2 linked regions of the Canis lupus familiaris genome follow. The protein of the gene in region 2 purifies or fractionates together with the protein of the main gene of each other region. This does not show direct contact. Links are inferred from orthologs where the notes say so. Each region holds a gene or a part of one and is shown on either strand. Other genes may lie near its edges. The genes, in order: KIZ and SCLT1.

Region 1 (15,879 bases), on a different chromosome or scaffold from region 2:
GACATTTTAACAATATTTATTCTTCCAATCCATGAGCATGGAATGTTTTTCCTTTCTTTTTTTGTATATTTTTTTTGGAGTTCAATTTGCCAAAATACAGCCTATCACCCAGTGCTCATCCCGTAAAGTGCCCCCCTCAGTGCCCGTCACCCAGTCACCCCCACCCCCGCCCACCTCCCTTTCCACTACCTCTTGTTCGTTTCCCAGAGTTAGGCGTCTCTCATGGTCTGTTACCTTCTCTGATATTTCCCACTCATTTTCTCTCCCTTCCCCTTTAATCCCTTTCACTATTATTTATATTCCCCAAATGAATGAGACCATATAATGTTTGTCCTTCTCCGATTGACTTACTTCACTCAGAATAATACCTCCAGTTCCATCCACGTTGAAGCAAATGGTGGGTATTTGTCATTTCTAATGGCTGAGGAATATTCCATTGTATACACAGACCACAGCTTCTTTATCCATTCATCTTTCGATGGACACCAAGGCTCCTTCCACAGTTTGGCTATTGTAGACATTGCTGCTAGAAACATTGGGGTGCAGGTGTCCTGCTGTTTCACTACATCTGTATCTTTGGGGTAAATCCCCAGCAGTGCAATTGCTGGGTTGTAGGGCAGGTCTATTTTTAACTCTTTGAGGAACCTCCACACAGTTTTCCAGAGTGGCTGCACCAGTTCACATTCCCACCAACAGTGCAAGAGGGTTCCCCTTTCTCCACATCCTCTCCAACATTTGTGGTTTCCTGTCTTGTTAATTTTCCCCATTCTCACTGGTGTGAGGTAGTATCTCATTGTGGTTTTGATTTGTATTTCCCTGATGGCAAGGGATGCGGAGCATTTTCTCATGTGCGTGTTGGCATGTCTATGTCTTCCTCTGTGAGATTTCTGTTCATGTCTTTTGCCCATTTCATGATTGGATTGTTTGTTTCTTGGCTGTTGAGTTTAATAAGTTCCTTATAGATCTTAGATACTAGCCCTTTATCTGATAGGTCATTTGCAAATGTATTCTCCCATTCCGTAGGTTGTCTTTTAGTTTTGTGGACTGTTTCTTTTGCTGTGCAGAAGCTTTTTATCTTGATGAAGTCCCAATAATTCATTTTTGCTTTTGTTTCCCTTGCCTTCATAGATGTATCTTGTAAGAAGTTGCTGTGGCCAAGTTCAAAAAGGGTGTTGCCTGTGTTCTCCTCTAGGATTTTGATGAATTCTTGTCTCACATTTAGATCTTTCAACCATTTTGAGTGTATCTTTGTGTCTGGTGAAAGAGAGTGGTCTAGTTTCATTCTTCTGCACGTGGCTGTCCAATTTTCCCAGCACCATTTATTGAAGAGACTGTCCTTTTTTCCAGTGGATAGTCTTTCCTGCTTTGTCGAATATTAGCTGACCATAGAGTTGAGGGCTCATTTCTGGGTTCTCTATTCTGTTCCATTGATCTATGTGTCTGTTTTTGTGCCAGTACCACACTGTCTTGATGATCACAGCTTTGTAGTACAACTTGAAATCCAGCATCGTGATGCCCCCGGCTCTGGTTTTCTTGTTCAATATTCCCCTGGCTATTCAGGGTCTTTTCTGATTCCACACAAATATTATGATTATTTGTTCCAACTCTCTGAAGAAAGTCCATGGTATTTTGATAGGGATTGCATTAAATGTGTAAATTGCCCTGGGTAGCATTGACATTTTCACAATATTAATTCTTCCAACCCATGAGCATGGAATATTTTTCCATCTCTTTGTGTCTTCCTCCATTTCTTTCAGAAGTGTTCTACAGTTTTTAGGGTATAGATGCTTTACCTCTTTGGTTAGATTTATTCCTAGGTATCTTATGCTTTTGGGTGCAATTGTAAATGGGAGTCCTTAATTTCTCTTTCTTCAGCCTCGCTGTTAGTGTAGACAAATGCCACTGATTTCTGAGCATTGATTTTGTATCCTGCCACACTGCCGAATTGCTGTATGAGTTCTAGCAATCTTGGGGTGGAGTCTTTTGGGTTTTCTATGTACAGTATAATGTCATCTGTGAAGAAGGAGAGTTTGACTTCTTCTTTGCCAATTTGAATGCCTTTATTTCTTTTTGTTGCCTGCTGAGGCTAGGACTTCTAGTACTATGTTGAATAGCAGTGGTGAGAGTGGACATCCCTGTCTTGTTCCTGATCTTAGGGGAAAGGCTCCCAGTATTTCCCCATTGAGAATGATATTTGCTGTGGGCTTTTCGTAGATGGCTTTTAAGATGCTAAGGAATGTTCTCTCTATCCCTAATAACCCTGTCATTAGGACCTCCGGTTTGGATTGCATCTCATTTGTTTTTAATTTCAGCCTGATTTACATCTAAATTCTGCAGTCATGAAGTCTCTTGAATCCTTTATGCTTTTATCCAGAGCCACCAGTAGCTTTATAATGGTGCTTCTGAATTGGCATTCTGACATTGAAATGTAATCCAAATTCTGTAACTGTATGGGAGAGAGTACTGTTTCTGATTCTTTCTTTTGTGGTGAGTTCCTCTTTCTAGTCATTTTGCTTAGTGCAGAGTGGCTAAAAACGAGTTGTACTTGATAGAAGCACAAACTCTTCTCTCTGTAGAGTTCCAGCTGTTCTCTCTTTAAATATCAGGTCGAATTCCCAGATTTTCAGGATGATTTGAAAGTTATCTAGGTAAGTTGGTGGGGACTGGTGACTTGGGGACCCTACTCCTCCACCATCTTGCCCTGCCCCTTGCTTTTCCATTTCTTTGTATCTTCCTCAATTTCTTTCATAAGTGTTCTACAGTTCTCAGAGTACAGATTCTTTACCTCTTTGGATTTATTCCTAGGTATCTTATGGTTCTCGGTGCAATTGTATAAATGGGATCAATTCCTTATTTTCTCTTTCTTCTGTCTCATTGTTAATGTATAGAAATGCAACAGGTTTCTGTGCATTGATTTTATATCCTGCCACTTTGCTGAATTCCTGTATGAGGTACTTATACCATACACAAAAATAAACTCAAAATGGATGAAAGACCTAAACATGAGATAGGAATCCATTAAAATCCTAGAGGCGAACATAGGTAGCAACCTCTGTGACCTCAGCTGCAGCAACTTCTTGCTAAACAAGTCTCTAAAGGCAAGGGAAACAAAATAAAAAATGAACTACTGGGACTTCATCATGATAAAAAGCTTTTACACAGCAAAGGAAACAATCAACAAAACCAAAAGACAATCTACAGAATGGGAGATGATACTTGAGAATGTCTTATCAGATAAAGGGCTAGTATCCAAGATATATAAAGAACTTATCAAACTCAACACCCAAAAAATAAACAATCCAGTAACGAAATGGGCAGAAGACAGGAACAGACATTTCTCCACAGGAGACATACAAATGGCCAATAGACACATGAAAAAAAAATAAAAAAAAAAAAAAAAAAAAAAAAAGCTCAACATCACTAGGTATCAGGGAAATACACATCAAAACCACAATGAGATACCAACTCACACCAGTCAGAATGGCTAAAATGAATAAGTCAGGAAATGACAGATGTTGGCAGGGCTGTAGAAAGGGGAACCCTCTTGCACTGCTGGTGGGAATGCAAACTGGTCCAGCCACGCCACTCTAGAAAACAATATAGAGGTTCCTTAAAAAGTTAAAAATAGAGCTGCCCTATGACTCATCAATAGCACTACTAGGTATTTACCCCAAAGGATACAAACATAGAGATTCAAAGAGGTACCTGCACCCCAATGTTTATAGCAGCCATGTCCATGATAGTTAAAATATGCAAAGAGCCCAAGTGTCCATCAACAGATGAATGGATAAAGAAGATATGAGATATATATATATATAGAGAGAGAGAGAGAGAGAGAGAGAGATTGCAATGATGTAGATGGAACTGGAAGATATTATGCTAAGCAAAATAAGTCAGTCAGAGAAGCTCAAATACCATATGATTTCAGTCATCTGTGGAATTTAAGAAACAAAACAGAACAATAAAGGGGCACCTGGGTGGCTCAGTGGTTAAGTTTCTGCCTTTTGGCTCAGGTCGTGATCCCAGGGTCCTGGGATCGAGTCCCACATGAAGCTCCCCAAGGGGAGCCTACTTCTTCCTCTGCCTGTGTCTCTGCCTCTCTCTGTGTCTCTCATGAATAAGTAAATAAAATCTTAAAAACAAAAATAGAAACAGAACCATAGGGGAAGGGAGGGAAAAATAAAATAAGATGAAATCAGAGAGGGAGATAAACCATAAGAGATTCTTAACTCTAGGAAACAAACTGAGAGTTGCTAAAGAGGAGATGGGTGGGGGGCTGGAGTAATTGGATGATGGACATTAAGGAGGGCATGTGATATGATTAGCAGCACTGGGTGTTATAAGCTACTGATGAACCACTGAACTCTACCTTTGAAACTAATAATATATGTTAACTGAATTTAAACTAAACTAAAATTTAAAAAAATAAGAGTGAACTTAGAAGAGAAGTAAATATGGCATAATTGCTTCCATGTTAGAATTGTTTATTAGTCACTTTGGCGGCTTCTAAAATTTCATGATTAGTAGGATACTTAGTTAATGAAGAATGAACAGTGAGCCATCTATCATTAAATTACAAAGACAGAAGGACCCTTAAGTGTATCTGTGACCTTGTGCCCTGACATCCTGCTTCACTTCTGTGTTATTCCTGCCAAGAAAGTGTGATCATTGTCTTATCATGAGGAACCATTAGATGGATCCAGCTTGAGGATTACCCTCTAGAAGGGTAATAGAGTTGGACTCTATGAAATTGTCAGAATACAAGATAGGAAACAACTATGGAATAGCTCCATACTGGGGGAGACTGAAAGGATGTAACAAATGAGTACACAGATGGGATCCTGGTCCAGAAAAGAAAAAAGAGTCTTGGGGATCCCTGGGTGGCTCAGCAGTTTAGTGCCTGCCTTTGACCCAGGGCACAATCCTGGAGTCCCGGGATCGAGTCCCACGTCGGGCTCCCGGCATGGAGCCTGCTTCTCCCTCCTCCTGTGTCTCTGCCTTTCTCTCTTTCTCTCTCTCTCTCTCTCTCTCTCTGTCTATCATGAATAAATAAATAAATAAATCTTAAAAAAGAGAAAAGAAAAAAACAGTCTTAGGACAGCTGGCAAAATAGGCAGGTAGTGAAATGTGATTGGAGTCTGTGGACTGGTATCAGCGTTGATTTCCACACTAGGAGAGTCATAGGGTGCATCCATGTCAGGGAACATCCTTATTTTTGGAAATAGACACTTGAGTTTTTAGGAGTAATGGGGCATCATTATCTGCAGTTTCTCACATAGTTCAGAAAAGACTAATAATTTTAGACAGGCAGATAGACAAAAACAGAAAAAATATAATGAAATGTTAAGAGTGGGAATCTGGGTGAGGGAAATACTAAAAGTCTTTCTGCTATATTTGCAACTTTTTTGCGAGCTTGAATTTAATTCAAAATAATTTTAAAAATTCACCTACAACCTCTAGTGAAAAACGACCACAGTCTTTTTAGGAATCCATCACCACCTGTGCCGCAAGTTCTTTTTTAATCATGAACATAGAACTTCTTCATTGCTCCTCTGTCTTCAGTAGATAAACACATCTGCCAGTCACACTTACCTATTATGGCGCTTCAGATGGTGAAAAACTACAAACACCTCCTGGCCTTCCACTGCGTACAACATGATGCTAATCTCATTAATCTCATCACAGGCCCTTTTCCCAACCTCCTCATCCACGCTTCAGAGCTTCTGAATGCTGTCTTTCATTTCTATTTTAAATTTAAGACTTAAAACAAGATATTTACTCCAATAAAAAGCCAGAGAAAGGTTTATGTGGAAGATGACCTTGCAACCCCTACATACTAAATCTTTATCTCAGAATCTCTGAAACACCCAACCCTGGGATGTATACCCATAATACAGTCCATGGTTTTAGTCACCTGCATCCCTCACCTCGACCATTCAAAGGTTTACACAGCTGCTAGTCCTTAAGAGTGTAGCCACATGATTCCCTTTTCTCCTTTTAAGCACTTGTTATTCTGTTTTTGTCTCAATACCAACTTCAGCTTCACTTAGCTAATATCTCAGAATCAATTTCTGGACTATTATGATATCTCACTCTGAATCAATACTGGCATTGAAAAAACTGGTTAATGGGCCTTTTAAAGGGATGTTTTTATATAATTATAAGAGTCAATTCCACTCACATGTTTCTACCATGCATGTGGCACTACACACACTGTAACAAAGTCACTCCAGCAGGCTCTTTAAGATTCTATGATTGATTTCACCGAGTGCAGAGAAAACACCATACTCAAAGAGGATAAAATTAAGAATGTAAAAGTACATTTATGTGTGACTTCAGCTAAGACAAACTGGGCTAGAAATATACTACTTACCAGGGAAAGGCCCAGTTATTAGACCAGCTATATTAGACCATCAGTGAGCCAGCTCTAAGAAGGCCAGAAAAGGGCAGGCTGTTTTTATCTCCTACCCCCAGGAAATTTCTGGACTGATAAAGCAGCTGGGATGACCCAGGGATGCAGCCTTTAAAATGACTCTGAAGTTTTAGAGTCAGTGAGAGTGATTAAAAAACAAAACTAAACAAAAAGCAGGTACATTCAAACACTCAAATAGGATACAAACAATGATATTCATTACTTGTTTCTTTGTAAAACTACAACATTCAACTCTTTTAGTTTGAAGCTCATTACTAGAGAAAAAACAAATCTGTGGCCTTACCATACATGTAATTCAGTGCTCCTCATTTCTGGTGAACAGCCAAGGTTCAGAGAAGCTGAACAACCTGCTCAAAGTCACACAATTCTTTGTAGAGCAGAACCCAAGTTTCTCTGCATCCAAAGTTATATGCCTCTGTACTTACTATGCATGAGAAGTTAGTTATGGACTTTTAAGATGAAAAATAAGGAGCACCAGGGTGTCTCAGTTGGATAGGCATCTGACTCTTGATTTCCACTCAGGTCATGATCTCACGGTAGTGAGATCAAGCCCCATGTCAGGCTCCGCGCTCAGCGAGGAGCCTACTTGGGCTTCTCTCTCTCTCCCTCTGCCCCTCCACACTTCCTCTCTAAAAAAAATATTTTTTTAAATGAAAGATGAAAACACATAGCAACAGTTTTGTACCAACTTAACAATTTTTAAAAACCTCCAAGTGTAGAACCATGAATAGGCTACAAAATTTTACTTGAATTCCTTATATAATTTCAACAGCCTCACCTTGATTAACAGTTAAAACATTTTAAGTGTTAAACATAAAGTGAGTACTAATCATTACACAGTTATTATACCATAAGGACTATAAACCACCAGGTGTTCCTAGCACAGAAAGTAAAAATGATACCTCACAATGAACTTAGTTCAAAAAGAATGCCATTTAAACCAGTAACATTTTATTTTTTATTCATTTATTTATTTTTTAACCAGCAACATTTTAAAATTAGAACTTGGGCTAAGAGATACAAGTAACTAAAGGCCTAAGAACACTAAGCTACTCTTCTAACAGAGCAAAAGCACTTTAGGTGTGCTGATGTGCAGAGCAGTGTCTTCTCCTTTAATTATAAGGTATGTGCAGACATAATACCATTTTTGAAATCTCATACTCTTCACTTTCCCTGGTTGACTGGTAAATCGTCAAGATTTAGTGACAATGTGTGGCTACAGTGTTGTATACGTGACATTCAAAACTGCTGGGTCCTGGCTGGTTGACGTTAGGATCTCTGCCATTCACTCAACAATTTGTCAAGCTCCTCCTCCACCTCAGGTACTCTATTACCAGCTAAAGATACAGCTAAATATGGTTCTTGTCCTCCTGGAATTCTCTCTCTAAGCAGGGAGCAAGTCACTCAAGCCATTTATCTACAGTGGTATTAAAATAGAGATAACGTAAATTAGGGAATGGGATGATCAATACTTGCCATAGGGAAACCACTGCAGGAAGTGTTTTTTTGTTTGTTTGTTTGTTTGTTTTTGTTTTTTTGTTTTGTCTTGTTTTTTTTAAGTTGGAGGTGAGGAGGTCCCTGGAGTGGGTGAGTGGCAGTATGTCAGAAAGAAAATAGGATATAGAAAAGGATCAAGGGGTAAAATATGGTGAGGGCAATTAAGGAGGCCTGTTGCGGATGTTCTATAAATATTTGACAAGAATTAAATCGAGGCTAAGATGAATATAATTCCTTTTTATAACCACCTATTACTGCCTTTACCTTATATGTAATTATCATTGTCATTTTAGAATTGCCACACACAAAGCTCTCCTCTTCACTGAAATGATTTTGTAACTTTTAACATTCATTAAACGCTGTGTTTATCAAGAGATCCAAATATCTATTTCCTTTCTTGTCAACTAATGAGATTTCCAACTCCAATTAATTTAGCAGCTGAATAACAGTTCCAACAATTTATCTTTTATGTGGTTATTTATAGTAAATTGCTTTATAATTTTCTCTCTGTGCTCTTAGATCTAGTGGCTCTCATCCTTCACGTCTTAATCAAAGTATCACGAACCCTCTGGAAGCTGGACTTCTCCTTCTGTAAATGTCACCTCTTTGCTGGAAATCCGGCCAGCCCTCGTTCCCCCCGCCCCAAAAAATGTCTCCTGCATTCAAACAGGGCAGATGCTTCTGTCTTTCTGTGTCTGTCTCTCTCACACACACTCCCCCGCCTGCGTGCCCAGGCTGTCATCGCTGATGCAGTGCAGCTGTCAGGGAGGGATGACGATCTTAGGAGAGACAAGGGAGGAGGCGTGTAGAAGGGAAGTAGGGAAATCCACGAGGCGTGATGAGAGTGGCAGGCAGAGGACTCCCAGTGTCGCTTCTGGGCAAACTGCGTGACGCGGCCGCATCTCCCGGTGGGAGCCCTCCCGTGAGGACGGCGGGCACCGTATTTGGGGAACTTTGTCCTCTAGGCCGCACCGGGAGCCTGGGGAGCGTCCCGGGCGGACCCGGGCTCTGAGAAACACGGCGGGGGTGGGCGGGGGTGGTGGGTGGCGAGGCCGCGGAGTTAGGGCGCCGGCTGACCCCCGGCCGGGCCCACCCCGCGCGCCCCGGCCCCGGAGACGTACCTGTCCCGCAGCCCGCGCTGGAGGCGGCCCAGCCTCTCGTGGTAGTCGGAGCTCGCCGGAGGCGCTGAAGGCGGGGAGGCCGGCCGCATGCCGCCCTCGCCGCGCCCCCTGCCCCAGCACCGCCGAGGAGCAGCCGCGTTCCGGGCGGGGGTGGGGGGCCGGGTTGTCCGGGGCGACGGCCCCACCATGCACCGCGGTAAACCGGGCGCCGGCCGCCGCGGAGGGGCGGGGCGGGGGGCGGGGCAGGCGCCGCGGGGGGCGGGGCGGGGGCGGGGCGTGCTGTGAGGCTGCGCGCGCAGCTTCGGAGGCCCTGGGAAGGTTCTCCGCGTGGGTGACGCGGCCCGGGCGGGGGGGGGGCGCGGTTCCCCGGCTTCCCTCTCCCGAGTCTGGCGTCTCCCTTTCCCCTCGCCCTTCAGAATTCTCGCGGGAGAGACCCTGGCCCTCCCCGCGACCGGGAGCCTCCGTGAGGACCTTGGTAGAGGCTGAGGGGTTGTGGGGAGCGCCGCTGGGTAGGAGCAGTTCAGTAGGTTATTTCCGCCCGCGGCATCAAGCTGCACCAGTGTTCCCGGATTCATCCTCTCCTTCCTACCACCTCTCCCTCCCTTCTTCAGGATTTCTGAGCGGGGCGCTGCACTAAACTTTGTTTCCTACCACACTTAAGAGGCAGAACAAAACACCATAAAAGAAGACAACCCAAAATACTCTGCGCTCAGCCCTGACAATAGAACAGCTGCTTGCGAAACAATAATGTATGAGTGTGCAAAGTTTTACTTGCACAAAATGTAGATGGAGAAGTCTCCCCAAAAATATGGACACATTTGGTCGTGGCTTGGAAATGGTACAAAAGGAATTAAATGTCTATTTTTCAGGAGATAACTGCATCCAGCCTACTTGAACCACGTTGATTATATCATGTTCCCTTCCCTACCTCCTATATTAAGACTGAAGACAAGGAAACTGACAAGGACCCTTATCCCAAGGGAGTTGCCCCGCCTCCCAGTGAATATAAGGTTTCAGGAAGATTTTGCTACCACCCCCTTTGTGACACCTCCTGACACATAAGAGGTGGACTCATGGATTTCATGTCACTTCAACTTCAATGTTGACCTCGGTTTATACCTCAGGAAAACAGTGCCAAGTTCATGAATCTAGCAAAATGGTTTTTCATGCCAGGTTATAGGTGCTCTGTGTTATCATTGTATTTCTTACAGAAGAGACTGACAAATTCATTGTGGAATGGAAATTATTGCATGACCAATCAAATGCCTCTGAGTGTGACCGTAGATGTGCAGTTGTAACGTCTCATCATTTGCACTGGCATTTAAGGGCTCAATAATGTATTTCCACTCTATATGGAAATTTGGAAAGGTCATGCTTACTGGAAAGTAAAGGAAAATAGGAATTTTGGTCAACAAATCACACTTTTTCGTAGGTTTTCATGTATCGAAGGCAGATTAAAGATACAAAGTATCAGAGTTTCTTCTATGTCTGGGAATTGTGTTTCTTTTGACCAATAGTTTATTGTGTCATTCAGAGTGAGGGAACTTGTGTGCCTGTCCCCTCGAGAGTTCTCTAAGAAGACCTGCAGGTATCCCCATCCTCTGAAGACTCTCATAGGGAATGAGACAGCTCATGGACTCAGAGACTTGTCCTCCACAGCAGAGGACCCTGAGGAGGTGTCTGTTGAAATGAGGATATGTCCTCCTCCTGGGCTGATGTGGTGAACCAGCAATTCTGCGGAATTGGATGGAAATGGTCAAGTCCACAACATGCTGGGTGTCATGCTTCTGGGGCGCCTACACATATACTCCGCCCCCTGCCACACACACACAGATATTGCAGTTTTTCTTTAGGTTAATCTCTGGGAATTTCAAAGGGTACTTACCAATCCAGAACGTCAAGTTTCTCTTATTGAAATACATTTTCTAAGAAATGGAGGGAAATCATCATGGTAATTTCTAAACTGGATGTAAACAGAAATTAACAACTTAATCTGAAATTGTTTTACAGATGTCTGAATTTGGTGATTCAGAAAAGATTTCACCCAGAACTCTGCAAAGTGACACCATGTTATCTCCTAAAGATATTTTCTGGACTCATTGATGTTATTTCTTCGATATTGTTATGGGAAATATTGCATCTTCTTTATTCATTTTTGCTCTAAAATGTTATCAGGAAGTTGTGTGTGTGTTTTTTTTTATTCTTAATAAAACATTCCCCCATAAAAAAAAAAAAAAAAAAAAAGAACAGCTGCTTGCTGGAAAGTCCGTGCTGCCCCAAGGATGTGGTTGTGAAGAGGGAAGAGTGGCTAACTAGTTGCTTGTGAAGCAGACATTTGTTTGCGCAGACGTGACTCAGTGGACAAACGCCCTGTCGAATCCTTCAGCGGAGCCTCTGGAGCCAGACTGCCTGGGCTCGAATCTCCTCTTCCTCCACCTAGCTGTGTGACTGCAGGCAAGTCACTCTCTCCATGCCCAGACTTCCTCTTGTAGAATGGGGAGGCTGTTACTGCAGGACCCACCTATGCCATTGTTATAATGACTAATTAATGTGTGTAATGCTTATAAAAGGGCCCCACACATAGTAAACATCACTTTTTATGACTGTCATCATCTTGGGGCATAAGCTTCCTGAAGAAAAACATATTCCAAACCCACAGAGTAGAAGAAGAACTACACTATAGCGTTTCTTTAGTCTCTTATTCTTCACTTGGTTTCTTTTCTCAGCCACTAATTTCACTTATTCTTATGTGCAAGGTGTGACTAAAGGTAGCAAATTGATCATTAGCGAGATAGATGGACCACTTAAAGGTTGGCAATATACAATTATGATGTTACTCGGCTTGCTCTTCTTATTTGTTAGGTCCAGGGCTAGAGTACTTGGAGGCCTTCATGCTATCTGTTGAAGTATGAAATGATTATAACTCACAATGACAAGTTGTAGATAAACTGTTCTTTCCTCCTACCTTGACCAATGTGCCTTCCTAATAACCTGGAAAGCCACAGGGGGATTTAGTTCTGTGACTTCTTCCCCTACTTACCCTCTACCACTTGAGGCTCAATCAAGCACTGTGAGGAGCTTCCTAACAGACAGGAATGTATGTGTCCCCCAACCCAGTCCACCTTAGCCTCTCATAGCCACACACCAAGCCTAATGGTGAGCCCACCAGTGATAGTCACCCTTTCAGGAATGATCCAGGAAAGAGGTCTCTAAAGGCCTTGGAGCTTGCCAAGCTCCAAGGCCTTGAGCAAAGCATGTCAGAGTGGTACTTACCTGGAATGTGTTCTAAGAAAGGTGTGCGTGGGGACACCTGGGTGGCTCAGCGGTTGAGTGTCTACCTTTAGCCCATGGCGTGATCCTGGAGTCCCAGGACCAAGTCCCACATTGGGCTCCCTGCATGGAGCCTACTTCTCCCTCTACCTATGTCTCTGCCTCTCTCTCTGTGTCTCTCATGAATAAATAAATAAAATCTTAAAAAAAAAAAAAAAAGAAGAAGGGTGTGTGTGTGTGTGTGTGTATGTGAGTTCCAGACAAGTATATACTGGGGCCTCTTCCCTTGTGTGGAGTAGCATGGCCAGAAAAGGGCCAGAACAGACTCTATTAATATACAGAAGCCAAGGCAGGGGTCCTCTTGCCTGGTTCTCAGGGTAGTACTAATACTCTGTGTTTAGTTGTTATATCAAATCATTATACCAAATTGATTCTATGGTCATGTACAAAGGTTTATTTTGCTCATTTTAGTGCAAACTACATTTTACCCACCACACTGGCAAAAATAATGCATATTTTTAGCATATTTTATTTAGATTCAGCCTCACCCAGATGTGTTTTTTAAAGGAAAAAAAAGTTCAATTAATATAACTAATTATTTTCAGCAAATACACAGAGTAAGCAGATGAAGCAGTCACTTAGCATCTCAAATTTTTATTAGGCCATTTTAGGGGAACCTAAACTTAAATATAATTAAACAGTAAATAGATAATTCAAAATAATTATAATCTGCATTTTATAAATGATTTATTAATGACATATGACAAATCTAGATATAGAACCTTCTTTATTAACAATAAAATAGGGCAGCCCTGGTGGCGCAGCGGTTTAGCGCTGCCTGCAGCTCAGGGTATGATCCTGGAGACCCTGGATCGAGTCCCGCGTCAGGCTCTCTGCATGGAGCCTGCTTTTCTCTCTGCCTCTCTCTCTCTCTCTGTGTGTGTCTCTATGAATAAATAAAATCTAAAAAAATAAATAAATAAAAGAAAAAAGAAAAAAAAACAAAATATAGCAAACTAAGTGAATATTTCTAGAGTATGCTAAAATTATGTATTCTGAATGTTGACACTTCTAATAAATTCAGTGTTCTTTACTTAGAAATTTAATTTGCTGTAGTATGGTCTTTCAATATTATTTTTAAATCCCTTTATATTAGTAGAGCTGATTTCTATAAGCAGCTCTGTTTTCACTTACCTGGACTGCAGGCCTACAAGTCTGCCTGGACCCACAAGGCTTCCTATAAGCTACCGAATGTCATAGGTGAAAGAGAGAATCTGTCACCTCTTTATTTTTTAGAAGAAGAAAAGGATTCAGGGTAGGTAAGGGACTTGGCCAGGGCCACAGCTGTGTGGTATTAGTGAATTTAGTTCTAAATATGGGTTCCCAGGAGCCCCACTAAACATACAGCAAGGAAAGACAGTGTTTTATCCCTGTAATCATGGATCCTAGGATGATCCATATGAAACTCTGCTTTTGTGGGACACCTGGGTGGCTCAGTGGTTGAGCATCTGCCTTTGGCTCCGGGTGTGATCTCGGGGTCTTGGGATAGAGTCCTGCATTGGGCTCCCCGCAGGGATCCTGTTTCTTCCTCTGCCTATGTCTCTGCCTCTTTTTGTGTCTCTCATGAATAAATAAGTAAAATCTTTTTTTTTTTTTAAAGATTTTATTTATTTATTCATGATAGTCACACAGAGAGAGAGAGGCAGAGACACAGGCAGAGGGAGAAGCAGGCTCCATGCACCGGGAGCCCGACGTGGGATTCGATCCCGGGTCTCCAGGATCGCGCCCTGGGCCAAAGGCAGGCGCCAAACCGCTGCGCCACCCAGGGATCCCTAAATAAGTAAAATCTTAAAAGAAAAGAAAAACTGCTGATTTTGTAAGCTCAAAAACAGATTTATGAGTGGAAAATTGGTTTTGGAAATATGTTGAAATTGGAATTTTACAATTTAAACTTTACATTTTTAAATGCCATTTTACAAATGGATCCTGTATATTTGAGTCAATAACTGCTTGGATATTATGTTTGTTGGCCAGGGCTGCCATAATAAAGTACCCCACACTGGGTGGCTTAAACCACAAAAATTTATTGTGTCACAGTTCAGGAAGCTGTAAGTCTGAGATCAAGGTGTTGGCAGGATTGGCTCCTTCTGAGGGCTATGAAGAACTTATTTCATGCCTCTCTCCTAGCTTCTGGTGGTTTGTTGGCAATCTTTGCCATTCCTTGGCTCATAGATGCATCACCCTGATCTCTACTTCATTTTTACGTTGTGTCCTCCCCGTGTGCATGCATGTCTCCAAATGTCTCCTTTTATAAGGATACTAGTCAGTTGGATTAGAGCCCTCCTTCCTCCAGTATGACCTCATCTTAACTCATTATATCTGCAATGACCCCAGTTCTAAATGAGGTCACATTCTGAGGTTTTAGGAGTTAGGACTTCAATATATGAATTTGTGAGGGGGGGGGGTACAACTAAACCTACAACAAACCAAACATGGAAAATTATTTCATTTTGCCATCACTCTACCAAAATATTAGACATTGCATCCTATGCTATTAGAAAATACAGTTTGTAAGAAGAGAGGACTCAAAAGTAGAACGTAGGAGTGAAAAAAAAGATAGAAGAGGCTGTCACATGTATATGTTTATGTAACCCCTCCTTGTCACAGCATTTGCTGGTGTAAGCATTTGTTGCATCATTTAAACCCCAGGACTGTCCTTTTGAAGGCACCACAAGTTTAAGCAACTGGCCTAAGATTATGTTGTCAGTATGTTCTTGGCCAGCTAGCAGTAGTGCTAGAATTCAAACACAGACCTTTTCTAATTCTAAAGTCCATCCTTTCTTAACCGCCATTCTACATGGCCTTGAAACTCACTATTTGCTATTATTCATCAATACCTACTGATACTTTTTATTTTTCTGTATGAGATGTGTAAAATTATAATGTATGCAGGAGGGTTTTTATGTAGACATGTTTCATTGTTTGGAGGAATAGTGTTCACTGATAAATGCAATTTTCTACATGCTGTGATATAGCACTATGTGTTCACCATTCGGTTCATTTTCCTCTTTGGCACTACATGTCTGATGCTTTCTAGCAGTTAGATGGGTCTATATGGCCCAGTCTGGCCAATGAATGTGAGTGGAAGTGATGCAGCCACTCCTAAGGATGACCCCCAAATATTCTATACTCTCTTCCCCATTTTCTGTTTGTTGGCCCACTACAGTCAGATTCCAGTGGAGAACACTGTGGCTCTGGAAGAACACGGAATGACTGCAAAGAGCAGAGGATGTGACTTGGACAAGAAATAAGCCTTTATTGTGTTAAGCCATTGCTATTTTGAGGTTGTTTGTTTTAGCAGCTGGCATTACTTAGCCTGATTCATACACAGCATTCTGTTGAACAATTATACAAGTGCATCCAAATGCCCTTCCACAACATTATCAAAGAGGATTTACAGGAGCATCCAGATGGTCAAGAAGACTACAAACCTGGAATTCTGAGATTGTCAATATCTGAGGAAGAAGCATCTAGAGTAGCTCTGTTAAATGAGACTTT
Region 2 (16,017 bases):
AAGACCCCCGAATAGCCAGGGGAATTTTAAAAAGAAAACCATATCTGGGGGCATCACAATGCCAGATTTCAGGTTGTACTACAAAGCAATGGTCATCAAGACAGTGTGGTACTGGCACAAAAACAGACACACATAGATCAATGGAACAGAATCAGAACCCAGAAGTGAACCCTGAACTTTATGGTCAACTAATATTCGATAAAGGAGGAAAGACTATCCACTGGAAGAAAGACAGTCTCTTCAATAAATGGTGCTGGGAAAATTGGACATCCACATGCAGAAGAATGAAACTAGACCACTCTCTTTCACCAGACACAAAGATAAACTCAAAATGGATGAAAGATCTATATGTGAGACAAGATTCCATCAAAATCCTAGAGGAGAACACAGGCAACACCCTTTTTGAACGTGGCCACAGTAACTTCTTGCAAGATACATCCATGAAGGCAAAAGAAACAAAAGCAAAAATGAACTATTGGGACTTCATCAAGAGAAGAAGCTTTTGCACAGCAAAGGATACAGTCAACAAAACTAAAAGACAACCTACAGAATGGGAGAAGATATTTGCAAATGACGTATCAGATAAAGGGCTAGTTTCCAAGATCTATAAAGAACTTATTACACTCAACACCAAAGAAACAATCCAATCATGAAATGGGCAAAAGACATGAACAGAAATCTCACAGAGGAAGACATAGACATGGCCAACATGCACATGAGAAAATGCTCTGCATCACTTGCCATCAAGGAAATACAAATCAAAACCACAATGAGATACCACCTCACACCAGTGAGAATGGGGAAAATCAACAAAGCAGGAAACCACAAATGTTGGAGAGGATGTGGAGAAAAGGGAACCCTCTTACACTGTTGGTGGGAATGTGAACTGGTGCAGCCACTCTGGAAAACTGTGGTTTTTCCTTTGAGGTTCCTCAAAGAGTTAAAAATAGACCTGCCTTACGACCCAGCAATTACACTGTTGGGGATTTACCCCAAAGATACAGATGCAATGAAACGCCGGGACACCTGCACCCCGATGTTTATAGCAGCAATGTCCACAATAGCTAAACTGTGGAAGGAGCCTCGGTGTCCATCGGAAGATGAATGGATAAAGAAGATGTGGTTTATGTATACAATGGAATACTACTTAGCCATTAGAAATGACAAATACCCACCATTTGCTTCAACGTGGATGGAACTGGAGGGTACTATGCTGAGTGAAATAAGTCAATTGTAGAAGGACAAACATTATATGTTCTCATTCATTTGGGGAATATAAATAATAGTGAAAGGGAATATAAGGGAAGGGAGAAGAAATGTGTGGGAAATATCAGAAAGGGAGACAGAACATAAAGACTCCTAACTCTGGGAAACGAACTAGGGGTGGTGGAAGGGGAGGAGAGTGGGGGGTGGGGGTAAATGGGTGACGGGCACTGAGGGGGGCACTTGACGGGATGAGCACTGGGTGCTATTCTGTATGTTGGTAAATTGAACACCAATAAAAAATAAATTTATTAAAAAAAAAGAAATTAATGCAAGAAATATTGAATATACTTCCACTGCTGGGAGGAGTGCCATGGCTGACATGGCTGACAAGGGTAGAATGTAATTTTGGCTTTGACTGCATAAAATGATTTTAATTTCCTACTAGAGTGACAAATTTGTTAAGTTGCTTAAAGAACACTAATGTTAATCCAAGTGTGCATAATATTTATAACAAAATTAACCTAAAAAGTATAGTCCTGCCCACTAGTTTACAATGTAATCTAAAGATAATGTTGGATCCAGAGAGAAACAACTGATTCTCCTTTCAACTTCCTGGGGACCGGGGATACTTACTATTCTCTCTTGAAACTTAATTCTTAGTGCCTCTCAATTTTGTATGCACATGTGCTCATATGAAATAGACAATTCAACTGTCAATGTCCTTTGTGACCTATGCTAGTGTGCATCCCCCACTCTACTTTTTATCATTCTCTGCTGCCTGTACATTGCTCAGTTTTGATTCACAGCATTATACCACAGGACATGTTTGTTTATTGTCTCCCCATTCCCAGCCAGAAAGCCTGTAAGTAATATGAACTCATCATTTATTTGTCAAGTGAATAATCCTCCTAGTTTTTGGATCCAAAACTTCATGATTCTAAGGTTTTCTGCAAAATAAATCAATTGTATTCATGGTATCACTCTCTTTCAGTTAAAACAATAGCAAGTAACTAAGATAATATGTCATATCTAGAAACTTCCTTTCAATTTAGTTTATCAAAGGTTACCTACTCACTTTGTTTCAGGTGCTGTACCAGGTGTTAGGGAAATTAACTATAAGCCTAGGGGAGTTAGGGATGTGTCTCATGTAGCTAAACCAACAAAGTCTATATTATCAATTGGTTTATTTTATAGTCCAATTTGATAAAGTTGGATTCCTACACCAAGCTAAGTTTTTCTTTTTTAAGATTTTATTTATTTGAGAGAGAGCAAGAGTGGAACACATAAAAGAGGGAGAGGAAGAGGGAGAAGCAGACTCATAGGTGAGCAGAGAGCCCATGTGGGGCTTGATCCCAGGACCCTGGGATCAGACGCTTAATTGACAGAGCCACCCAGGTGCCCCACCAAACTAAGTTTTAAATGAATCAAAGATTTAAACATAAAAACCATATTATAAGAGAAAAATTAATTTTTAAGACAATGTTATAGTTGAAAAAGCCTTTTAAAATATAACCCCAAACTCAAAAGACAGAAAAGAATGATACATTTGGCTGCATAAAATTAACAAAACTAAAAGCAAAGACCTGCCTTCACCCACCCAAAAGAGCTCACTATTACAAAAATCAAAAGACAGTTGGGGAAAAAATATCTGCAACTCATATTTCAGACAAATAACTAACTTTTTCAGTGCTTAAAGGGGTCCTAGAAATTAATAAGGAAAAGATCAATACCCCAACAGAAAAATAGGATAAAACAGTTAACAAAAGGTAAATGCAAAATGTTCAACCTCATTTATGATAGAAATGCACATTAAAGCAACAATAAATTACTATTTTCTTGTATTGGAAAATTTGATAACATGATGTGATAATGCAAAACAATGAAAAACAATCACATATTGTTGTTGGGGCATAACTGGCACAGCTTCTGTGAAGAACAATCCTTCAAAATCTATCAAAACAAAACATGCAAATATCCTTTGACTCAACAATTCTAGTTCTAGGAGTTATTACACCTGCACATATTCAAAATGACATAAGTATAAAGATATTCACTGCAACACTGTCTACAATAACAAAATAATGTAAGCAATTTAAATACCCATAAGTACAGGATTGGTAAGGAAATTATGCTGTATCATGCAATGAAATACTATGTAGCTGCTAAAAAAGAGTAAGAAGCTCTATATATATTTAAAATATACTAAGGGAAAAAAAGCAAGGTGCAAAATGTATGAACTTATTTCATTGAAAAAGAAGACTATTTGCATAAATGCTTGTGAATGCATATACTATCTCAGAAAGCACAGACAAGAAACCAGTGGTGGCAGTGGTTACCTCTTATGAGGCAATTGCTGGAGACAAGAGAGCAAGGGAGGCTTATTTTCAACTGCTATTACTTAAAACAACAACAACAAAAACTGCCTGAATTTTATACTATTAAAAAATAAATGAATGATTAAAAAGTGTTTTTTAAAGTCCATGTGATATATACCTCCTCTCTATATTATATATGCTTAACATTTCTTAAATGTCAGAATGAATACTGGGAATATTATTGAAGGAATATATTCATTCAAGGTGATCACCAGCCTATTATGCAATTTTGATGTTGGCTGTTTAGACTTCCTTAGAAGAATGTTTATCGTTAATCTGTGTTTTTCCACATTTTAACTTCTATTCCTCAAATTACTCTTTCATCCAAAAAAAGTTCCAATTTTAAAATTATTTTCATGCTTGTTTGCATTATGGAGAGGCCTTTAAAAGGAAAGTTGAGAAAGGAGAGAACCGCAGAACACTAAATGTCCAGGAGACAAAAAACATTCCACAAAGGTTAAAAGAAGGAAGTAATGGAAAAGATGTTTTCTCAGAACGTTTTACAAGGGAAATTTCCAAATTCTTCTATTCACGAAATTGCCTTTAGTTTCCTATAATTATATTTCAGTTTGCATTCTTGCTTCCACCTGCACCCCTGCCCGTTTATGAGAGAAACGGAGAAAGGAAGCAGTCGGAAAGTGGGAGTAAATAAACTGTGCCAGCAGAAGCAGCAGCTGAAAAAGAAGTTACCAAAGAAAAGGCTAACAAGACTGGGCGAAGCTGCAAGTAAGAAGCGAGGTAAGGACGCTAAACAAGAGAAGAACACAGACCGGGAAGCTCTTTTTCCGTTCAACACTCAGCTCGCTGCTTTCTGCGCAGGTGACTGAAGAGGGCTCAGCCTTAGGCTCCGCCCAGCTGCCTACATATCCCAGGGGGGTTGGGCGTGGAGGACTGAAGCCAACTCGTCCTGGTTTTACAGGAAAGGAAAAAAAGGAAGTGAACCTCTGAACTTTTGATCATTCTACTGAAGTTTGTGTGATTTTCTAGAAGGAGAAGGAAGGGTAATTCAGCAATATAAATACCATGTAATAATCTGAAAATGAGCTGTAAATTCCAGTTCAGGCAGGCACTTTCCAACTATGATCACCAGCAAATCACTGTAAAAAGGATTTTGTGAATGGATATACATATACATAAATGTATTTAGGACAGTGCCTAGCATGTATGTAGTAAATACTCAGAAAACATTAGCTGTTATTATTAAAGTCTACACAGGTTTGCGTAAAGAAAATATTTTTCTGTTGAAATTTTTTAAATTATAGGTTACTTAAGTGGTTGTCCTATTAAAACTAGACTATAAGGCAGGATAGTCTAAATGACCCTTGAGATCCCAAAATATGGTTCTGGTTGGTTCAGTCTTACCTATTCCAACAGTTTCAGTATTTATCAGCTTATTTTCCTTCATTTAGTGTCTCCCACCCAAGACAGTGTGAACTTATTGTTTCTATACAGGATTAGATGTAAATTCATAACATAATCATACATAAACTTTTAAAGTTCTCAAGAAAAGGCAATGATTTACAGAACTACTCTATTTCTAAATAATAAAATCATTCTGTATTTTGGTTGCTGAGAGTTACCAAAATGTCTACGGGATCTGTGGGTTTAATTCAGCAAGCAGTCACTGGACCTGAACTTCACAGCTACTCTGAGAATACTGTGCATATATTCTACATGTTTAAGTAAATTCACCATTTTCTCCTGATCTGCAACAGCAGATATTACATTAGTGTATGGCCATTATTCAATTATTTTCAGGTAAAGTATTAAAGTACACCATATGAAGCTGCAGAAAAATCACAATTTCATATGGTTTAGCATAAGTATGTTTTGCTCATAACATACTTTTAAAAACTTCTTTGGGGGAAAGCAGCTTTCGTATTTGTTTTACGAAAACTATTATTTTTGTTTTATAAAAATCATTTGATGGGAGAGGGAAATGAGCTCTTGCTCAATAGCTCAATTTCCAACTTTGTATTCTTCATGGTGCTTTCTTTCCACATGGTACTGGCTGCTTGATGTCAATTTATTAAACAAATTAATATTAGTAAGAACTATAAATTTTCAAAGGTTTTCTTTCTTTTTTTAATTTTTTTTATTTATGATAGTCACACAGAATGAGAGAGAGAGGCAGAGACACAGGCAGAGGGAGAAGCAGGCTCCATGCACCGGGAGCCCGACGTGGGACTCAATCCCGAGTCTCCAGGATCGCGCCCTGGGCCAAAGACAGGCGCTAAACCGCTGCACCACCCAGGGATACCCTCAAAAGTTTCCTTTATTGAAGAAATATATCTAACACACACACACACAAAAATGAAATTGGAGCTAGAGAATGGTTAAACACATGATTTTCCCATTCCTTGTACTCAATTACACTGATACTTTCCAATCCACCAAATTCCTTAAATTAATTCCTTCATCAGGTATTTTTGAACCCTTCTTGGATTCCAGGCTCTCTAATGGAGCCTATAAACAAACTACAAAACAATATGATAGAGACTGGATGGAGGAAGAAGCACAAAGTATTAAGGAAGCACCCTCCTTGGGGAAAGTGGGTAGAGAACACAAGAGAACTTTTAAAAGCAAGCAACACTAGAGGGGATACTTTAAGGATAAGTGGAAGCGTGACAATTTTGTTTCATAAAGATGAAAAATATTTTGTAAAAGCTCCATGCAAAAACCAGTAGAATCTTACAAACCAGCTTCCCAAACAAACCGCAATACCGTAATTTGCATTGAACTTGACCATATAAGCCAAATAGCTCAAGTATAGAGATAAAAATTCCAACTTCAGATATTTAATTTACATAATGCAAAGACCACTCATCATTTATATCCAGAAAGTGATCTTTGCGTTCACCAACACTAATACATCTTATTAATATCTAGTGTAGGTGTGGAATTAAGTTTATAACTGATGCCAAATTAACTCCAATGGCAACATGCAGATTCAAATGTAGGAGAACTTAAAGTCTAGTCCTCGGGGAGCGGGGGAGGAGCTCATGAAAAAGTCCTACGCTGACCTTTCAAGAAAGAGTTGACGTTTGCCCACTCAATCTCTCCCTCCAGTAAGTTTAACATTTATTTATTTATTCATGAGAGAGAGAGAGAGAGAGAGAGAGGAGCAGAGACACAGGCAGAGGGAGAAGCAGGCTCCACGCAGGGAGCCCGACGCGGGACTCGATCCCGGGTCTCCAAGGTCATGCCCTGGGCCGAAGGCAGATGCGCAGCCGCTGCCCATTCCTCCAATTTTAAGATAGGGCTTAAATGCAGACAAAATTTTTAATACTGGAAATTGTCATTTTGCCCTCAGATATTAAGTTCTGCCTAATTTTTTCTGACAAAAAAAATAACTTTTTTGTTCTTTTTGAGGAAGCAAAGATTTGCAGGATCTTTGTACCACCTCTAACTACACGTACGCCTTCCTGACACAGCTAAACACAGCTTGTCTCCTTCCCCTAAAGACCCAGAGGGGCAGGGCCGTACTTAGCTTGTGGAGACCAAGCCCACCTCCAAGATCCTCCAGAAGCTCCGCTCTGGGGGCGGCCTCGGAAGGCGCCAGCTTGGGCCCCGCCTCCAGTCAGACGTCTACTCACTTTCCAAACCCGCTCCTTGCGGCCAGCAAGCAGGTTCCCTCAGTGCAGAAGTGCCAGGCATCAAAGATTCTGGGAGCGTTTAAAATATGTGCTTGACGCCCTCCCTACGTTTACAACTTGGGGGGTTTTCTTGAAAAACCCCACACGCTGCACAGCCCCGCGGGCTCGCCCCCGGGAGGGAGCCTGCTCGCCGCCTCGGGGGTGGCTCCGCGCGCCGCCTTCCAGGTTCTCACAGCTCCACCCAGAGCTGGACCGATAGCCAATAGCGTGTAAGGACTCTAGGAAGCGCGATGACGCAGGCGCCGACGTCCACGTGATGACGCAGGCCGCGTCGCCGTCTCCAAGGAGCGGCCCGGGGCACCGGTTTCAAAGTCGCAGGGCGGGCCGAGTGGACTTCCGCGGCTGGCCCCGGGTTTCGCCGGCGTCCTGGAGTCGACCCCCGCCTTCCTCCCCGAACGCTGCCCCCAGGACGCCGCCGCCCGGCTGCTCGCCGGCTCTGTAGGCTGTGTCCTGAGCGGCCCGGCACGACCCCGAGTGACCTGCGGGACGCCTCCGGCCGCCCGCGTCCGCGCTTTACCCCGCCGGGATTCGGGGCGGGGGAGGGGGGGGACGAGGCCCCAAAATTCACGTGGCGGATCCTCGGCGCGCCTGGCATCTGAAGTCCGCTGCCCGGTCGAGGGGCCGCGCTGGGACTCGGGAGAAGGAGGCGCGGCGGGGCTGTCGACGTGAGGAGGATGCTGCCTACGCCCTCGAGAGCTTGACAAGCCCCGGAGCGTCGCTCTGTCCTGTGTCTCCGCACGGCGAGCTCTGGTGGTGGTGGGGGGGGGGGGGGGGGTCGGGTCGCTTTTGTTGTTCTTTTTTTGTTTCATTTTTGGAAGAAAGTGGCAGGTGGTGAAATCCCAAGGAAATGGCCACGGAAATCGACTTTCTGAGAGACCAAAGTAAGCTCCGTATCCCTCTGTGGAAAATGGTTACCCTGCGTGGCGAGGTTGCCGACCGGCTACTATTTTCGAATATGCCCGTTCGGTGCATGGAAATTTTGGAGAAACTCAAGTCAGCTTTACGGGAAAGCCTGGCGGGCGGGCGGGTGGGTGGGTGCGTATATGCTTAAGCAGAACATCGCCTGGTTCCTCCTTCAGCTGGACGCGGTTAGTATGTTCCTCGCATGCCCCGGAGAACTCAGAGGGGCGAGAGGCCAGGAAGAGTCTCCCCAAGGCACAGTTGTGGCTGTTTTTTTTGTTTTGTTTTGTTTTGTTGTTTTTTTTTTAAATATTCATGAGAGAGAGACACAGAGCGAGGCAGAGGGAGAAGCAGGCTCCACGCAGGGAGCCCGACCCGACGTGGGACTCGATCCCGGGCCTCCGGGGTCACGCCCTGGGCTGAAGGCGGGCGCTAACCCGCTGAGCCACCCGGGCTGCCCAGTTGTGGCCGTTTTTGTAAGGAGATGTTTATGTAAAGTCCCGTTTCGGTTACGTGTACGTGCCAGGCTCTCAACAGGCACCGCTGCTGCAAAGAGGTGGACAGTCCTGCCCTCCAGGAATTTAATTTGAGGAAAGAAATCCGTAAATTCCATAGATACACGCAATTGGCAGCAGGTGCTAACCCTTACGCCTCGGTTCCTTCATGGGGTTGTTGGAATGATTAAATGAGAGTTTTGTTTTGTTTTTTAGGATTTTATTTATTCATGAGACCTGGGGTGGCGGGGGGGCGGGGGCATAGAGAGAAGCAGGCTCCATGCAGGGAGCCCGACGTGAGACTAGAACCTGGGACTCCAGGATCACACCTTGGGCTGAAGGCAGATGCTCAACCACTGAGCCACCCAGGTTGTCCCCGATTAAAGGAGTATTAAAATATGTAAAGGCTGGGGCAGCCCCGGTGGCTCAGCGGTTTAGCGCCGCCTTCAGCCCAGGGCCTGATCCTGGAGTCCAGGGATCGAGTCCAGGGATCGAGTCCCGGTTGGGCTCCTTGTATGGAGTCTGCCTGTGTCTCTGCCTCTGTGTGTGTGTGTGTGTGTGTCTCACGAATAAATAAATAAAATCTTTTAAAATACGTAAAGGGTTTAGCATAGTATCTGACACTAAACATATTTAACTATTAAAGGACTGTTATTAACTGTGATCAAGGAAGGTGTCATTTGGGCTAAAGCTTGAAGTACTAATACGAATCTGCTAGACAAGAACCGTGTGGGTATCCCAAATAGAATGGTATATGCAGCATGTATGCAGCGTTGAGGAGATGAGTATGCAAGGAGGTTGGCTTGTATGGAGTGTGGTTTATCTAGGCAAATAGCAAGTGGAGCTGAACAGGGAAGAATGGGACTGGATAATGAAGGGCCTTGTCTGCTGTGGGTTGAGTTTGGACCGTTGCACAGATGATAGGAACCACTGAAAAGCACGTGAGAGTAGCATGATTGAATTTGATTTGGAAAGCCTGGTAATGGCTGTTAGGAGGACTGAGTGCTCTAGCAGAGTCTGATAGGGGACTATTCTTAATTCGCACAAGTAAGTGAAGTAAGGTAGTACAGTGAAGTTGGAGATTAGGGAATTTGAGATGAGGTAGGGGGCAACTGAGGTTTTTGCATTAAGCAACAGGGAAGGTAGGGAAAAAGCGGTAAGTTCGGAAGCTTTATAAACCAGTGGTTAAGAACTCTACCCCTAGATTCAGTCTGTCTAGGTTCATGTACTAAGTTTATCTCTTTTCAGGTCTTTGACCTTTGTCGAGTTCCTTAGCTCCTTGGTGTTTCAGTTTTCTCATTTATAAAATGGAAATAATAGCACAATAACCCTTGTGGGGTTATAAGGATTAAATGAAATGATGTAAATAAAGCATGGTTTCTAGGGCATAATAAATGTGCTATAAAATTTAGAATTAATGGACTATAATGATACCATACATTAGCATTCTTTTTTAGGTTTGAAGTGGGAATATCCGCCATCCCATAAGGAAGACTGGCTGACCTCCATCTCAAGTAGTGGGGGACAAGAGTTGGGTGATAAGGATTTTGGTTGGGGTGGGGAGGGTACCTGAATCACCCCAAAACTATGATTTTTAGAGGAATGAGCCAGCCATGTTTTCTTTTTAAATGGAAACTAGGATGCCGGTTACAGCTGAGGTGAAAACAGATGGCTTGACCTTCTCCCACTTATTCTAACCTTCACTACACTGACTTCTTTTGATCTTAATTGTCTCTTCATTTGTTCCATTTGGATTTGGTAGTCTAGCTCAAGAGAATTTGATTTAGTGTTTCTCAAGTAGCAACCCCTGTGATAAAGCATTAGCTTTACAAAAAACTACAGGTAATTCCAAACCCAGTCATGCTCCTAGTAAACTCCTAGCATAATTTCAAGACCCCATTCTCCCACCTCCATCTGAGAAAGGAAATTTGATAGTCCTTAGAGACCTGTTCAAAGAGATACTTGTTTATGAAGCTAAGAAATGAAAAAGTCATTCTTGTAGTGGGAATTTGGGAAGTGGAGATGAACTTATTTTTTCTTTTCATTCTCTTAAGTGTTCTTCACAGGCCAAAAGTTTTTAATTTTGTTGAGGTTCTCAATTCTTTTTTTTTTTTTAAGATTTTATTTATTCATAAGAGACAGAGAGAGAGAGAGGCAGAGACATAGGCAGAGAGAGAAGCAGGCTCTCTCTGGGGAGCCTGATGTGGGACTCGATCCCAACACCCTGGGATCACACCCTGAGCCAAAGGCAGATGCTCAACCACTGAGCCACCCAGGCGCCCCTCAATTTGTTCTTATATGGATGTCTTATCTAAGTAATCTTTGCTTAATCAAAGGCTGCAAAGATTTTCTTCTATGTTTTCTAGAAATTTTGTAATTTTAGGTTTTACATTTAGATTTATGATCCACTTGGCTGAAATTTTGTATAAGGTTAAGATAAGGATCAAAGTTTACCTTTTTGCATATGAATGCAATTAAAAAGACTATCCTTTCTCCATTGGATTTCCTTTGCGAAAAGTCATTTGTCCTTATTCGTGTCCATCCATTTCTGGACTCTGTTCTGTTCCATTGACTTGTTTTATCTGTTTGAGCACCAGTGTTCCACTGTTTTGATTATTGCAACTTTATAGTAAGTCATAAAATCAGGTGATGTTAGCCTTTCAAATTTGTTCTTTTTCAGTTATTCTGGCTATTCTAGATGCTTTGCACTTCCATGTGGATTTTAGAATCAGCTTGTCAATGTCTTCAAAAAAAATGCTGAGATTTTGAGAGGCGTTGCATTGACTCTGTTGATCAATATGTGTAGAATTCATATCTAATGATATTTGAGTCCTCTTATCAATGAAAAGGTTGATCTCTGCCTGCATTTTCCCTCTTTGTGCCATAGCCTGAAAGTCTCTCACGTCATTCTCTCCATTGATGTGTCTATTATTTCTCTTGGCAATATTTTGTAGTTTTCAGTATATAGGTTTGCATGCCTTTTATCAGATTGATCCCTATGTATTCTGGTTTTGATACTATTATAAATGGTGGTATTCTTTTAATTTCTGATTTATCATTGCTAGTATATAGAAATACATCTTTTTTTGTGTTTTCTTTCATGTTGTACCCTGCAACCTTTTTAAACTCACTTACTCTGATAGGTTCTTTTCAAAGTTTATCAGATTTTCTACATAGATGATCTTTTCATCTGTCAATACACTTTTACTTCCTTTCCAATTTGGATGCCTTTCATTTCCTTGCTTTATTGTACTGGCTAGAACTTCGAGTACAGTTGAACACAGGTGGTTGAAGTGGACATCCTTTTCTTTGTCCTGATCTTAGGGTACAAGCGTCTGTCTTTCAGAATTAAGTATGATACTAACTGTAGATTTTTCAGAGGCGTTTTTAGATGATTGAGGATATTCCTTTCTAGTCCTAGTTGTCCGAGAGTTTTTATCAGAATGGATTTTGAATTTTTTTCAAATGCTTTTTCTCTGTTTATTGAGAGTATTGAATTTTTTTTTCCATTTTGACTTACATTGATTAATTTTCATATTACCTTTTTGGGGGGATAGACTTCTCTTATGTGTTACCCTTTTTATTGTTTGATTTGGCTTTCTAAACGTTTATTTAAAATTTTAATTTTCTATATTCATAAAGCCTTTTTTCCCTCTTCTCATCTCTATGTCTGGTTTTGGTAATAGGCAATGCTTTCCTCACGGAATTAGTGGGAAAATATTTTGTTTTCTTCAATTTTCTGGAAAAGTTTATGTAAAATTGACATTATTTCTTCCTTAAATGCTTGGTAGAATTTACCAGTAAAGACAAGACCTAGAGTTTTCTTTGTGGAAAGATTTTAAACTGTAAATTTAGTTTCTTTAGTAGGTAAAGAGCTACTCAGTAGTCTGTTGTATGGTATTTTTTGGGTGTTTTTGTTGTTGTTGTTGTTGTTATGTACTGTTGTATACAGAGACCCTCCACAGATTTCATATATCCAGAATTTTCTCTCTCAGGTCATTAAGCTGGAGCAATTATAAGCCTCACTTCATTTATTTTGCATCTCTCATCATCATTATCTCTTGTCTAGTGTCTGGCAAACCATTATTTATTTGCTTTTGGTTGTAATAAGTGGGAAGGTAGTCCTTGTTACTTCATTTTGGACATAAGCAGAAGTCCTATTCAAGTTACCCTACTTTTGAAATCTTAAACACAAGTTTCTTACTCCTGGTAGAAGTATTCTTTGGCTTCATCAAGACTTCTGTTCTTTGACTCTTCATTTTCCTCTATATCCTTAAGTCTTTCCCAGCTTGTTTTTATTGCTTTCTCTTTTTTTAAAGATTTATTTATTCATTTGAGAGAGAGGGAGTGAGCATGTGTTATGCACAAATGAGGAGAGGGGCAGAGGGAGAAAATCTCAAGCAGACTCCCTGCTGAGTATGGAGCTGAATATGGGGCTCAGTCCCACAACCCTGAGATCATGACCTGAGCCACCCAGTTACCTCTGTTTTTACTAATTTCTTATACAGCTTATAACCATTGCCCATCGGTTGATCTACTCTCTTGTTAGTGATCTTAATATGTTTATAATCTCGGCTTTTTTGAGTAGCACATACTGGATAATACTTCATCCCTTAATTAGTTGTTTATGTTGCCTTAATAGTTCTCACACCCAGCTGTTCAATAACCATAGATAAAAAACTCAACTCTCTAGATAAGTACCACCACAAACTCAAGGTTAACTCATAACTAAAAAGTGATCAAGCTGGGATTTGAACCTAGGCCATCTAGTTCCAATGTCTATATTCTTAATGTCTACTCAACAAAGAGACTTGCGGGGATCCCTGGGTGGCGCAGCAGTTTGGCGCCTGCCTTTGGCCCAGGGCGTGATCCTGGAGACCCGGGATCGAATCCCACATCGGGCTCCCTGCATGGAGCCCGCTTCTCCCTCTGCCTGTGTCTCTGCCTCTCTCTCTCTCTCTCTCTGTGACTATCATGAATAAATAAAATCTTTAAAAAAAAAAAAAAAAAAGAGACTTGCAAGAAAAAAAGGGGGGAGGGGAGCCTGTTTCACTGATGTGCATAGAAACTAAAATCCTACATAAAAGAGGTGACTGGGTGGCTCAGTAGGTTAAGTGTCCCAACTCTTGATTTCAGCTCGGGTCATAACCTCAGGTTCATGAGATCGAGTCCTCCATCAGTCTCCATACTGAGTGTGGAGCTTGCTTAAGATTCTCTCTTCCCCTTCCCCTCTCCCTACTCCTGCCTCTCCCTCTCTTAAAAAATATCCTATGTAAAATATTAATCCAGTAATGAATGTCTGTATGTGTACATATATGTATACATATGCCTGTGTATAATTGTCTTCATATTGGGTTCATCCCAGTAATAGTTAGCATTAAAAATTACTGAATACAATCAAGAAGACCTAGGTTAATGGAGAAACCACTAACATATTAAATTTGTAGATTAGAATACTCAATATATTAAATATGTCAGTTCTTCAACAGATTAATGATTAGATTCCGTGCATTCTCAAGCTTAGTTTTTTTTTTTTTTTAATTTTTATTTATTTATGATAGTCACAGAGAGAGAGAGAGAGAGGCGCAGAGACACAGGCAGAGGGAGAAGCAGGCTCCATGCACCGGGAGCCCGACGTGGGACTCGATCCCGGGTCTCCAGGATCACGCCCTGGGCCAAAGGCAGGCGCCAAACCGCTGCGCCACCCAGGGATCCCTCAAGCTTAGTTTTAACAGTATCGTTCTAAAATCTAGTGGGAGAGGGGCACCTGGGTGGTTCAGTCGGTTAGGTGACCAACTCTTGATTTCAACTCAAGTCGTGATCTCAGGGTTGTGAAATGGAGCCCTACATCGAGCTCCCCACTGGGTACAGAGTTTGCCTAAGGTTTTCTCTCTCCCTCTGCTCCTTCTCCCTACCCCCACTAGTACACACATTCTCTTTCTCTCTAAGAAATAAAAATCTAGTGGAAGACTTAAGAATAACCAAGAGAGTTTTAAAGAATATCAAGGTGAGATATTTTACCTGTCAGCTATTAAGACTTAAAATATCCAATTATTAAATCAACATTAGATTGTCATACATAGGTCAGTGGAATAAATTAGCAAGGAAAAGACATATATGTGAAACTTGTTATCTGAAAGAACAATACAAATCAGTGCTAGGATGGTCCTAGGATAATTGGCTATCCAAATAGGAAAGAAAAAATAATAAAGATACCTTTCCCACATATATAGAAAAACCATTCTGATATTTTGATTTAACGGCCAAAATTTAGAAAGATTTTTCACAAAAATAAACTCATACTAATAGAAAGATGGTTAAAGAATATGACAGGCCATTACAAAAAAAAAAAATAATAAAATTTGAAGAACTACTAAAAAATGAAAAATCCCAGTCTCATCAGTAATCCAGAAAATGCAATGTCCAACAGTGGAATAAGTGTTGAATGAATGAAGGAAATAGTAGTTACAGTAAAATTTTCTCCAGATTAAAGTCAATCTCTGAGGACTGTATTTCCCTCAGTAATTCACAATTGACTTCTGAACCATTTTAATTACTGAGAACTCAGATTTAGTGTTTTTTTCTTATTTGAACACCCTATCAGGTAGGGTGAAAAAAGATTTGCATTGGAATTATTATATCCATGACCATATCTACAGCCTCCTCTTGAGAAGAGCAATAGGCAGAAACTAGATCCTATACGGTGCTAAAATTTTAGTGCTGTGTGTCAAGTTAACAATCTTAAAAGTTCTGTGGGCAACAATAAAAACATGGATAATTTCTTGTAAACTCGGTAAAAAATTAAAAACCATTTACCTTATCAGTATTCCATGATTTCTTTATCGGAATCTCATCTATTTGTCATATTTTGCCACTAAATTATATGTACTTTAAAGGAAGAAACTATTATCTGAAGTTCCCAAGATAGAATGTGTATACTACATGTGTGCATTTTATATATGCATTTTTAAAACTTGTATATTTAGTATGTATCCCATACATATGTATATGTGCTTATGTATAACATATACAGAAAAGTAAAAAAAAAAAAAAAAAAAAAAAAAAAAAAAAAAAAAAGAAAAGTAAAGAAAACAAATATAAAGCTAAGTGAGTGATTTCCAAGTTCAAAACTCATATAACCACAATTCAGATCAAGAAATAGAACATTTCCAGGATCTCAGAAGACCCTTAGTAATCATAATCTTTCCCTCTTTCTCAAAGGTAATTAAAGATAACTAAGGTCTTTAATTTTACACTATGGTTTTGCTTGTGTTTGAGCTTTATATAAATGGAATCATAAACCGTGTATTCTTCTGTTTTGGGCTTCTTTAACATTGTATCTTTGAGATTTATCCATATTCTTACATGTAGATGTAATTTGTTCAC

Evidence for each region.
Region 1: the proteins of SCLT1 (region 2) and KIZ purify together in Homo sapiens (co-immunoprecipitation; 3 studies listed by BioGRID and IntAct, counting the BioPlex papers as one, with this or other methods). This does not show direct contact. The link is inferred for Canis lupus familiaris from reciprocal best matches to the Homo sapiens genes SCLT1 and KIZ.

Annotation. Positions count from the first base shown.
Region 1 is NC_049245.1:2,681,809-2,697,687, forward strand, and holds the start of KIZ (centrosomal protein kizuna), read right to left. Parts: upstream 9,264-15,879; 5' UTR 9,240-9,263; coding exon 9,052-9,239; intron 1-9,051. UniProt on the Homo sapiens protein: Centrosomal protein required for establishing a robust mitotic centrosome architecture that can endure the forces that converge on the centrosomes during spindle formation. Required for stabilizing the expanded pericentriolar material around the centriole.
Region 2 is NC_049240.1:12,802,129-12,818,145, forward strand, and holds the start of SCLT1 (sodium channel and clathrin linker 1), read left to right. Parts: upstream 1-7,995; 5' UTR 7,996-8,084; coding exon 8,085-8,118; intron 8,119-16,017. Other genes in the region: C19H4orf33 (UPF0462 protein C4orf33 homolog), read right to left, coding at 4,352-4,488, 7,178-7,238. UniProt on the Homo sapiens protein: Adapter protein that links SCN10A to clathrin. Regulates SCN10A channel activity, possibly by promoting channel internalization.